Saccharomyces cerevisiae S288C: one gene and its partner. The protein of the gene in region 2 interacts with the protein of the main gene of each other region in a pairwise test. Each region holds a gene or a part of one and is shown on either strand. Other genes may lie near its edges.

What was found. Proteins that work in one complex are often made in the same cells at the same time.
Region 1: the proteins of AFI1 (region 2) and CNM67 interact in a two-hybrid assay, tested with the Saccharomyces cerevisiae proteins (2 studies listed by BioGRID).

What each region holds. Positions count from the first base shown.
Region 1 is NC_001146.8:222,160-226,169, forward strand, and holds CNM67 (Cnm67p), read right to left. Parts: upstream 2,311-4,010; coding exon 565-2,310; downstream 1-564. Other genes in the region: JJJ1 (Jjj1p), read right to left, coding at 1-272; SQS1 (Sqs1p), read right to left, coding at 2,637-4,010. UniProt on the Saccharomyces cerevisiae protein: Involved in the pathway that organizes the shaping and sizing of the prospore membrane (PSM) during sporulation. Required for the proper formation of the spindle pole body (SPB) outer plaque.
Region 2 is NC_001147.6:563,571-572,520, forward strand, and holds AFI1 (Afi1p), read right to left. Parts: upstream 5,989-8,950; coding exon 3,307-5,988; downstream 1-3,306. Other genes in the region: GTPase-activating protein RGA1, read left to right, coding at 1-623; phosphoribosylaminoimidazole carboxylase ADE2, read right to left, coding at 906-2,621; ORT1 (Ort1p), read right to left, coding at 6,359-7,237; YOR131C (putative haloacid dehalogenase-like hydrolase), read right to left, coding at 8,612-8,950. UniProt on the Saccharomyces cerevisiae protein: Involved in actin patch polarization. Required for maintaining a proper budding pattern in yeast cells. Required for proper polarized localization of the ADP-ribosylation factor ARF3 at the plasma membrane.

The DNA of each region.
Region 1 (4,010 bases), on a different chromosome or scaffold from region 2:
GCGTCTACCTCATAATCATAGTAATCATCAGTGCTTGGTGGAGTATCATTTAAAATTTGTTCCTTATGTGAGTCATACCATGCTCTTTCCTGGGGGTCAGACAGTACTTCATAAGCGGCTCGAATCACAGCAAATTTTTGTGTGGCTTCTTCAACATTATCTGGGTTTTTATCTGGGTGATATTGTAGGGCCTTTTTACGGTAAGCTTTTTTTAACTCAAGATCAGAAGCATGCGTTTCGACCCCTAAAAGCTCATAGTAGCAGGTCTTCATCCGTTATTTTTGAAGTAGTAGGATATCACTATACTGATATTAACTCTTGGCTGGTCAGACTTTTACTATGTAAAAAGAGCTACTTTGCGATGACTTCAAATTTTTTTCACGTATATTTTTTTTCTATTCTTAAAACAAGAAAAAGTGTAAACATAAAATGTTGGCCGCTTAAGCCCTCCAATTTTACAACAAATGAATATTTTATACATACTTCCTAGAATATAATTTAATCTTATACCTTAATTTTTAGTTACAATTACAACAATTTATCTATTGACTCCGTTAATAAAAATTACTTCACCATCTTCTCCAGGATATGATCATACAGATGGTCCAGACACCTCTCCAAATGGTGATCTATGGAATCCATCCTGCGCGTTGACATAAAATCATAGTATGCTTGATCCGTAAATTTCTTTAGATTCATTTCTTGACTATATACTTGTCTATGCAGACGTTGAGCAAAATTGGACAGCATGATGTTTTCATATTTCAATTTGATAGCCAGCAACGGAATCTTTCGCCTTAACTTTGGATAAGGAATACCAACAGCCAAAACAATTTCTTTGACAGTATTTTGTAAAGTCGTCAAATTTGCTGAATCAATTTGTTCAACCATAAGGAAATTACATTCTTCTGCCGAAATATCGGGCCTTGACTGTAAGATATTTTTTATTGTAATCCTTTCAGAAGTATTTCCCTCTAAGTTTCCAAATCGCGACCTCAAATTATCCAGTTCCTTTGATAGAGTGTTTGTTTTCTTTTCAGCATCTGCTAGCATTTTTTCTTTATCCTTCAATGATGTTTCGTATTTTTCTTTGCTTTTTTCCCATGATCCTAGTCTTTCATTCAACCTTTCCAGCTTAATTTTTATTTCCTCATTACATCCTTTCAAAATTTCCTTCTCATCGATTGTCAACTTGTCAAATTTATCACATAGTATTTTGTTCTGTTTGGAAAGGGTTTTATTTGTACCAATTAAAGTATTATTTTTTTCTCTCATGGTCTGGATTTCAATTTTTTTATTCTCTAACTCATTTCGGAGATCCTCAGCTTCTGCTTTTGCATTTTTAAATCGCTGAGAAATGCGGCTCAGCTCTTCTTGCTGTGATGCACATAAAAACCCTTTAATATTAGGATATTTTTCTTGTAATATGTGATCTAATTTTGAAGAATTTTCCTCCGAGTCATACAAATCGAAAAACAATATACCAATCGGTATTTCAAACAGCTCGGCCTTTCTTAAGGAGTCAGTGAGACTTAGTAATGCAGTGTGTTTTGTCTGAATAGTATCATTGGCTTTTTCCAACATTTCTTTATTCAGCGAAAGGTCCTTTGTTAGGTTTTCAATCAATACTGTCTGTTCTTCAATTTTTTTTTTGTTATCTAAGGTTTTGTCGTTTGACTTCGTAGCTGCTTCGAGCTCCTTTTGTAAAGAGTTTGCTCTTTCCTCTTGTCTTAGATTATCTCTACCCAATTCAATAACTTTTTTTTGATACCCCAGTATCACATTTTCTAACATTCGAAAATCCTCTTTCGATAAGGAGTTTTGTAGAAAAATTTTGGCACCGTTACAGTCTTCTATCGAGATATCTGGCGATGTATGTTCATCAGTTGGTTGAGCAGAAGCCTGTTCATTTGCCCTCGTAAAATGCTTCGAAGAGTTTTCTCTAGGAGTAGAGTGTATGAAATTGGGTACATCCTTTTTATGAACATCAGTACCTATGGGAGACTTATCTTTTTCGTTTTTTGGTCGTTCTTGTAATCCTGGAGATTCCTGATAACTAGTATTTCTAGCATAATTCATTTGATCCATAGATGGTGATTTGTTCTCTTCATATGAGTCTCTAGCATTGGAAAAGTTGCAATTGATGACATCTTCAGGGTTAACGAATAAAGGTAAGATGGATTTTCCGACATGATTTTCATTTAGCCAGTTTTGTGGGATTGGCTCTCCGTCTTTAATTTCCCCATTCTCTGATACAGGAGAATCCAAACGCTCATGAAATGGAAAATTCATTAAATCGAAATCAGTCATGATGTACAAAAGACCTGTCACTATTTACTAGTGATTATTTTTTGTATGTGTAGATTTCTTCCCGAGGAACGTTAACGTTATTAGTTGTTTTATTACTATAAACGTTCCACAAAAAATTGCCTAACGCCTCACGTCGCGCAACGCGAATTTTCACAAGAAGATGTTATTTACAGTTACGATAATTGAATTGGATATGTAACGAGAAGTTGTACCTAAAACTCCGTATGTGTATATTACCATAGATTTTTCATGGTCTAGTCTAGAAAATAAAAAAATATGTATATACGCAATTGTTAAGAAAATGAGGATTAAAAGCTTGGAAAATATTAACTTTCACTGTGTCTTAAACCCGATCTATTCTTTTTAATTTTGGCAAAAATTGGTTCACTTATACCTTTATTGCCTTGAATACCAAGGCCCTCTCCACTTTTCCACCCAAGCTTTTCCAACATTCTTCTACCGATATTTTCGTTTCCAATCTCTGGAGCGTTTTGACCAACAATCTCACCTTCTTTAACATGAAATTTCCCTCTGATTGTTTTAGTTCTTTCGAAAGCAGCTTGTTCCTCCCTCGGTCTTCTTATATCTATTCTCATGAATACTGGCCTCTGCCTCATCAATTGGTCAATGAGACTATAATTCGGAGAAGACCATTTCGTTTTCTTTATTTTTTCTACAACAACCGACGTATGATTTGCTTTCCCAATTTTTGAACTCTTCATATTATAATGCTTCGCAATTTTCATTACGGTCTTGTTTCCATGAGGATCTAATGGAGGGAAAGTCAGTCTATCATTGTTCCTAGACAAAAAGGACTCAAATTCATCTTTAATATTTTGAATATGGAGTCCATATGGGTATTTCTTGAGCATATCGTTCGAATTTCTATTCTCCTGATCAATGAAATCTTCTTTGGCTTTTCTTTTCTTTGCTTTGGTTTCTATGCGTTTACTAAACTTACTTTGTAACGTCTCCAACGTTTCTGTATCCAGCGCTAAGGCGTCATCGATGAGTAGCTTCTTCTTCTTACCTTTACCCTTAGTTTCCAAGGACTTGGTTTCAAATGTTTTGAATCTTTCTGTATCATGTTTCAATGTGTATGCAATTAGGTCGTCCAGACCCTCTTCAATGTCGCTATGCACAACCGAGGAGGCCATATCTTCATCATCTTCATAGCTGTCGCCTTCATAGCTGTCACCTTCATCACTCGAATCAGAAATCGGAATATCTGAGTAGGTTGGCTCAGCTGGTTCAATTTTTGGTATAAGAGAATTTTTAATAAAATTCAAATATGCAGGTAATCTATCTTCAGGAAGACCTAACTCGTCTACAACGAAGTCTGTGAGTAAGTCCTGGTCAATCCAATGAAAGTCGTAATCTCCCAGTAATCTGTAACACCGTAGATAATATGAATTGTCTACTCCGCCCATTCTTATATTGGAGACCACTATGTCATTAGTATTTATGACAAAATCTTCTTCTTTGAATCCAAATTCTAACTCTTCGCTAGCAGGAGATGGCAGATTATCATTATTGCCTTCGAATGTTTTGGTACCATTTATTGAAAGACATTTTATATCTTCTGTCAACTGCGGACTAGGGCTTGGTAAAAGATTGTTGTCAGCTCGGGAATTGTGACGTTGGCCAACATAATTAAACCCTTGATCAACCTCAGAACTTGCTGAGGATTCGTATAAAGG
Region 2 (8,950 bases):
ACAATGAAATACCGATGATACTATCTGTCTGCATAGATTTTATTGAATCAGACGAAGAAAATATGAGATCGGAGGGCATTTATAGAAAATCAGGTTCCCAGCTAGTCATAGAAGAAATAGAAAAGCAATTTTCTGCATGGAAAGTACAACAAAATACCGAAACGCCAAATATTTTAACGGAACAAGATCTCAACGTTGTTACTGGTGTGTTGAAGCGATACTTAAGAAAGCTCCCCAACCCTATCTTTACCTTTCAAATATACGAGCCGTTGATGAGGTTAGTTAAATCTAAAAAAATGATGGAAAACTTGCCATTTGTTGGAGGAAAGTTGTCCTTAGAAGCAAAGAATTCGGACACTTATATGTCGAGCAAGAGCGCTTTAAAAAACATATTGGAAGACCTTCCAAGGGAACATTATAGGGTGTTAAGAGTACTGAGTGAACATATAGAAAAGGTTACACGGTACAGTCACTGGAATCGAATGACGCTTTATAATTTGGCTTTAGTTTTTGCTCCAGGTTTGATTCGTGATTTCAGTGGAGAAAAGGATATTATTGATATGAAAGAAAGAAACTATATTGTCGCATTTATATTTGGGAACTACAAAGATATCCTGACGTAGCGCTATCCTCGGTTCTGCATTGAGCCGCCTTATATGAACTGTATCGAAACGTTATTTTTTTAATCGCAGACTTAAGCAGGTAATTATTCCTTGCTTCTTGTTACTGGATATGTATGTATGTATAATAAGTGATCTTATGTATGAAATTCTTAAAAAAGGACACCTGTAAGCGTTGATTTCTATGTATGAAGTCCACATTTGATGTAATCATAACAAAGCCTAAAAAATAGGTATATCATTTTATAATTATTTGCTGTACAAGTATATCAATAAACTTATATATTACTTGTTTTCTAGATAAGCTTCGTAACCGACAGTTTCTAACTTTTGTGCTTTGACAAGAACTTCTTCTTCTTGCTTTAATAAAAACTGTTCCATTTTCGTTGTATAACTTGAATCATAAGCGCCAAGCAGTCTGACAGCCAACAGCGCAGCGTTCGTACTATTATTAATAGCGACGGTAGCTACTGGAACACCTCTAGGCATTTGCACAATTGAATGTAAAGAATCTACTCCATCTAGACAAGAACCTTTTACGGGCACACCGATGACAGGAAGTGGTGTCATTGCAGCCACCATACCTGGCAAGTGAGCAGCCCCACCAGCTCCAGCGATAATTGTTTTAATTCCACGCTTGCTTGCGGAAATAGCATATGCTGACATCCTATGTGGAGTTCTATGAGCAGAGACTATTGTCACTTCAAATGGAACGCCAAAATCTTTTAAAACCGCACATGCGGCAGACATTACCGGCAAGTCAGAGTCTGATCCCATGATGATTCCAACCAATGGTTTGACCATTGCTTCCAAGTCCAACTTTTGAGCGACAGAGATTTTGATTGGAATATCAGTTCTACCTGTAATGTAGTTCAGCCTTTGTTCACATTCCGCCATACTGGAGGCAATAATATTTATGTGACCTACTTTTCTGTTAGGTCTAGACTCTTTTCCATATAAGTACACTGAGGAACCTGGAGTCGCCAATGCTCTTTCGCAAGTTTCTAGCTCTTTATCTTTTGTATGTTTGTCTCCAAGAACATTTAGCATAATGGCGTTCGTTGTAATGGTGGAGAAAGATGTGAAATTCTTTGGCATTGGCAAATCCAATATTGATCTCAAATGAGCTTCAAATTGAGAAGTGACGCAAGCATCAATGGTATAATGTCCAGAGTTGTGAGGCCTTGGGGCAATTTCGTTAATAAGCAATTCCCCTGTTTCTAAATAGAACATTTCCACACCAAATATACCACAACCGGGAAAAGATTTGATTGCATTTTCTGCCAACAACTTCGCCTTAAGTTGAACGGAGTCCGGAACTCTAGCAGGCGCATAACATAAGTCACAAATATTGTCCTTGTGGATAGTCTCTACAATTGGGTAAGAAAACACTAAACCGTTAACAGATCTCACAATCATGACTGCTAATTCTTTAGTAAATGGTGCCCATTTTTCGGCGTACAAAGGACGATCCTTCAGTACTTCCAAAGCTTCCGGAATCATTTCCTTATTCTTTACAACGAAGTTACCTCTTCCATCGTATGCCAAAGTCCTCGACTTCAAGACGAATGGAAAACCCAAATCTCTTCCAACATTCAATAGGGACGTCTCACTGGCTTGTTCCACAGGAACACTTTGGGTAACTGCTATACCATTTTTGATTAAATGCTCTTTTTGAATATATTTGTCTTGTATCAATCTGATTGTTTCTGGAGAAGGGTAAATTTTTAATTTGGGATGTTTTACTTGAAGATTCTTTAGTGTAGGAACATCAACATGCTCAATCTCAATCGTTAGCACATCACATTTTTCAGCTAGTTTTTCGATATCAAGAGGATTGGAAAAGGAGCCATTAACGTGGTCATTGGAGTTGCTTATTTGTTTGGCAGGAGAATTTTCAGCATCTAGTATTACCGTCTTAATGTTGAGCCTGTTTGCTGCCTCAACAATCATACGTCCCAATTGTCCCCCTCCTAATATACCAACTGTTCTAGAATCCATACTTGATTGTTTTGTCCGATTTTCTTGTTTTTCTTGATTGTTATAGTAGGATGTACTTAGAAGAGAGATCCAACGATTTTACGCACCAATTTATACATGAAATGCTCCATAATATTGTCCATTTAGTTCTTAATAAAAGGTCAGCAAGAGTCAATCACTTAGTATTACCCGGTTCGTAGCCATGCAACAAGAGTCATTTGTCAGCATAGCTGTAATAATCAATCATGACGTAAGAAATGTATCATAATTAAAAGTTGTTAAAGATGTCAGTGTTATGTTGGTGTTACAAAATTCTCGGCTTCTCACTAATATTTAATATCTCTTAAATTTTATCTGTCTTTGATTCTTTTAAGAAAAGTTATGTATTATTCAAGAAAAAGTCAATTCCGCATCAAAAGGTAAAATTTATATAAACTGCTTTAAAATTTCATGAAACTAGGCAACTTTTCGAAATGATCTTTTTCGAGCATGAAGTTTCTTTTATAATAACCTGGTCAAAAGCTTTCAATATATAATACATTTGGTATTTACGGAAATGAGATGATATACTGGTAGTGCGCTAGTCAAGTTCTAATTAAATTAAAATGCAAAATAGTAATGTCAGATGGACACATTGGGCGAAATAGCTAACCCATAAGCATGAATCCTGTAACTTATGTAATACGTTAATCACGATACGGCGTTACTAGTCTTCCTTTTGAGTGGTTTCTAATGTAGATTCTTGTTGTTCGTTAATTTGCTTCAAGCCGTTTAGCATTCCTGATTCGTTTGAAGATAGAGGAACAGATGCGCCAGCGAAAGATGATGATGCAATGGTAGAGGAAGTGTTGGTCGAATCTCCCTTTTTGGAAATAAAGTGTCGTTTTGATTCTAGATAGGCTTCTCGCAATTGATTGTGGAGATACTTCTTTAAAAGGGCCATACCTATGGGATGACATTCTAACCTATAGAGTAATTTCGTAATAGCATAGCAGATTTTTGACGCCCTTCTTTCTAGTAGAGGAGAAGCCCTTAGCTTGGGTGAGATGACTGAGGATGCGTTTGTAAATTCGGGATAATTGGAATTTCCAGTACCCTGCCCATTACCTCCCAGAATCCTTATATTAGGGCGTGTACTCAGTTGTAAAAACTGTCTCAATGAAGAAGATTGAGCAATTCTGGTCAAATACGTTCTTCTCCTGGACAGAGATTTTGTGAAGGGCAAATCCTGCCCACTTTCTTTTGTAATAAATGTGAGGAAAAACGCCAAGATATCAAAACTGTAAATTTGAGTAAAAAGATCTATTGCTGATACTATAACACCGTGGGGATCTTTTTCGATGCCCATATAGCTGTTAAAATTATCGAAACCCTGACGCACTTCGCTTTCAAAACTCCACCTAGAAATATTATCACCGTGTAACTGAGCTGTGGGTAATATTTTGAACGGAGAATAGTTCAAACAAGCGTTTAAAAACTTCTCAATGTTTGTCCTGCTTACCGATACCATGCGAAACAGCTCTTTAACAATGTCCAATATTTGGCTTAATTGGGAATATATTTGCTCTGTGGAAAATAACTGGCATGTGTTTCCTAAGCTAAATAAACAATTATCCAAGTTAGACAATAGTTCAATACTATGCAGTGTAAAATAATCAAAGAACTCCGGGAAAATGAAAAAATCTTTATAAAACATGATATATTCATCTTTTAGTGCTATATTAGGTGGAATTTCTCGTCTTTTCAAAGCGTCCAGAAGGTTTTCCAACTGAAGAACATTCAGCCTTCTCAAAACGCTCATGATAGTATCACTATCATGATATTCGTCGATAAGAAGAGAAAAGAGCTTCTGGCCCAAGTTTACCTGACTTTCGTTGACTGCGTTGGTTGAGAAATGAGGCCTATTGAATATCTTTCTCAAAGGGTTAGGCCCAATCTTCACTTCTGCCACTGTATCTGGCTTTTCTTTTTCTGGACTATTATTTTCATAAAACACTCCCTCATCCACATCGTAGTAATAATCCCAGATATCTAACTGGTATCGGAAAATTGGATTGGCAGTTCCGATAATTGCAAAGCATCCGACAAAATCACTATTCGATGCTACATACGCCCGCAAACCGTCAACAAGAGAAATGTCCATATAGGGAAAAATCAACGCAGCATTTCCTTTGAAGTATGATTGTGGATCGCTAGCATAAGTTGCCGTTATGTTGGCTAATGACAAAATAAAAGCGCATAGGTCTTCTTTACTCAGTTTAGTTGAATTGATGACTAACTTCCATGCATTAACTTTTTGTCCGGCTTTAAGAAGGTAAGGGACAAATTTATCCAAAAATTTTAAAACTAGTTCATTATAATCATTTTCAATATAAATAGGCTCTCTTCTAATCATATTAAATTGCAATGGGATTTTTAACAAAAATGGCGGGAGCGTCTTTGGCTGAAATCTTGTAAAATGATATTGAATGAGTTGGTCATGAAAAGTCACAATGTTACCATACTTGTCCTTAGTGTCAAATCCATTGATGCAAAAGAGTTTCTTTAAAGTGGAATCCGGGTCTAAAAATACTTTGGTAATGATAGATTCGTCATGGATAGAGTGTAGCACTTCTTGTATACTACTTTTGGAATGTATGTCATTAATCAATGTAAGGTCAATACTGTTTAGCATATTAAAGCAATCAAGCAGTATGTCTGTAGCAGCAGCTTGAGTGGGAGCTTTCATATACAAGTCTAACACTAATACAATAATATTTTTGAATGCAAAGAAGGTTTTTAATGGTGTTCCGATGGCAATCGACTTGATTACTGCCCCTCTATCGTTCGTGGTGTCTAATACTGTGTTGGCGACATTTATGAAAAATAAAGGTTCGTTGTCGATGGCTTTCTGATTATTCTGAACTTCCTGGCATTCGAGCTCATCATCTTCCAAGACAATAGTGTATCTATTATTTTTTGCATCTTGATGATTTTCGGCATCGTAATATATGCTATTGGTAACACTACCATCTGACTGTTCACGATGATGCAGATTGAAACTGAAACGAGGGTCTTTTGGCACAGGAAAGAGTTGATAGTTTTGAGTAAACTTATTGTAATAAAGGGTAAACACTGTAATATCTTGTTTGCCGGGATTTCTCTCTATGCTACTCGGTATCATTAAACTTGCCAAGTTCATAGACACCGACGTATTGCCGTTGCGTTGCTCATGTGAGAACTGATTGAAACCTGGAATATCTTTCGGGTATTGGTGCTTCAAAATAGGACCTAATTTATTATCAAATTCTGCGGATATTATATAGCTGACATTCGGCCTTTCAAAAGGAAAGGATTCATTTTCTATCGACCTGTTGCTGATAGAGTTATTTAGTTCTCTTCGCAACATCCGGTAGCCAAAAATGTTTGCGTACCAAAGACTCTAACAGTGGGCGGTACTATGCTTGATCTTGATTTTATAGAGCTTGCACTTTTATAGAAGAACCATTGCTACCTAGACAGTTTTTTTTGTTTACATTCGAATCATTTTTTTTTTTGCATTTAGTTAAATCCGAAGTCCTGACTAGATAATTTACTGTCAGAGAATAGTAGCATCTATGCAAGAAACTGGTATACAATAGTCGAGAGGTTGTTGTAAAAAACACAAAATACTAACACAAAGCCTGGCTGTTGAGATTGTGCGACATTCTTGATCAGTAAATGGTATTACAGACTGTCTATCAATGTTACATACTTGCTTATTACACGATTTATTGTATTTAAAGTGCAGAAAGAGTCTCAAAGATGTAAAAAACTGCAGCGTTTGCTGGTACTGCCCTAAAAAGGGTTATACCCAGTCCTCGATAAAAACCCTTTAGTCCAAATTTGCCAAATATCTTCTTCACCGCATTGGTGAGGCTTATATGTTCAGTTTGCATTACTGATTTCACAGTATCCGCAGGAAAAATACTGGCGTTGAATGCCAATCCAGCGCTCCCTCCACTAATAAGTAGTTCCCATATCTTACTTTCATCTCTTTTTGGGTCATCAAGGGAGTGCCTATCTTTCAACGACTTCTTAACTATTTCGTAGGTTGCAAACCAGGCAACACCACCGAAGCTTTCTCGAATAAAAGTGCCCGATTGCCCTTGCCACAATCCTGCCAATCCTCTCTCAGTTATAATTGCTTTTATTGTAGGCAACACCTTTGTATGTTTCGTTTTAGCTGATGCAACTTGTAAGTTCGCAACCTGCAACTTACACTTCACCAGCTCCACGGGTGTCAAAACTAAACTAGCACATGAACCCGCTACTCCACCAGAGATCAGGATTTGCCCCAACGGGGAAACGTTTGTATGTTTTTCTAAAAATTTAGAACATTGGTTATAAGACACAAATAATGTCGCGTTCTCCAGACATGCTCCAACTAAAGGTGAAGCAATGCCTTGAAAAAACCCTCGTGCTATTCCTTCATTTTGGTAAGTAAATTTTATACAAGACCATGTTGTTGGGAACACGTTGGATGCTTGTGTTTGCAACCTGACTTTCACAGTATCGAAAGGAAACTCGATCACCTTACCACAGGCGCCTGCAATGGAACCGTTTATTATATCGAGTATAGCGCCTTCTATTAATCCTTTCTTTTTACTGTCCTCCATTATACGTTGACCTTCCAGAATTTGAGTTCCCTATAGGTTAAAGAAAAGTTTCTACGACAAAGCATCTACGCTTTAACAATTAACTATACCCGTGCTTCGATAATTTCACACTTTTCTGAATCTATCGACGCCAGGAGCAGAGAACTTATCATTGGCGATTCTTGACGCTGCGGCCACAGCGGCCACAGCGGAAAACGTATATGTCACATTTTTCGAGCTCAAGGTGAGTCACGATGCAGAACTGGAACGTACTAGGACTAAGTTGCAACGATGAAACTACAATGCTACGCTTTCTTCGTGCTAAGTACTCATTGTATCCATTAATATGGTCCACAAAAAGGGTAGGCTGCTGTTGTGCTTCATTAAGACTGGTCAAAAACACGGATCCAGCAGCAACAGCACCTGCATGGATGGAATAGGATTGGTGCTAAATCACTTGGAATTAAACACAAGGATTTTGGTCGGCAATATTATATAAATATAGTCAGATGAGTGCTTCATTTTTGTTGATAAGTATTAATGAAGATTAAGTGTGGATAATACTGTCTTTGATACTATACATTTAATGTGACGAATTGTATGACTCGTATACATAACTACCAAAGCGTAGATCTTTAACTTATTTTCAGCACTGTCCGAAATGCTCAGTTAGCAGTTTAGTACATTCACGTTAAAACGTGTATGTTCGAATAAAAATCAACTCACTCATCGACTGATATTCATACTACTGGTATATTGTCATACGGTGTAAGAAGATGACATAAAATCGAAAAACAATGGTAAAGTATAATGGCAACTGAAATGCAAGGATTTGATAACGTCATAAAATGATGAAAAATATAAAATGGAGGGAGAAGTAACAGGTACGTAGAAATATTGGTTCCCTTTATGGATCCCTATATCATCGTGCAGAACTTCTCGTATATTCGATATACCTAAATTATAGCCCTTAACAATAATGAAATCCTAACGATTATCCCGAAAATTCACCTATTTCTCAGTATATGAAATGTACATTAACGTAAACACTCATCTTGCTACCATCATTATTTATATTGACATTAATGATCACTTGCTGCAACATTTTTTTATTTTTTCAAATCATATGAAACAAGTATTAATAAAAACACCGTTAACCCAACAATTAAAATCCGTGATAGTTTAATGGTCAGAATGGGCGCTTGTCGCGTGCCAGATCGGGGTTCAATTCCCCGTCGCGGAGATTTTTTTGCTGATTTGATGTGTTCTCGAACTTTGTGATGCCGAAAAAATCAAGGTAATTCCGCCATAGCTACTATATTAGCTCTAAAAAACATCTAAGAATAAAATGGTATTTCAATCATATGTACATATCTAAGTAAAGTTTTTTTTTTTTTAGAAACTTTCTTTATTCATATTTTGAATCAATTCAATTATTTCGGAAAGATCCTCTACTGAAACGTCTACTAGTTCTTTATGTTCGAGCAGTAAATGTCCATTCACATGATTCTTGAGTAATACCGTGAAACATCCAGCAGATCTACCGGATTTCATGTCGTCAAATGAATCTCCTACCATGATCATTTCCAAGGGCCTTATATTTAGCTTCGAGGCGATGTGTAATAATGGGTCTGGTTGCGGTTTTGTAGGCCTAAACTCCCTTGTCACAATATAGTCAAACCTCGAAAGCTCGGATGGAATAAATCTTTTAACAAAAGTCTCTACCGGGGCTCC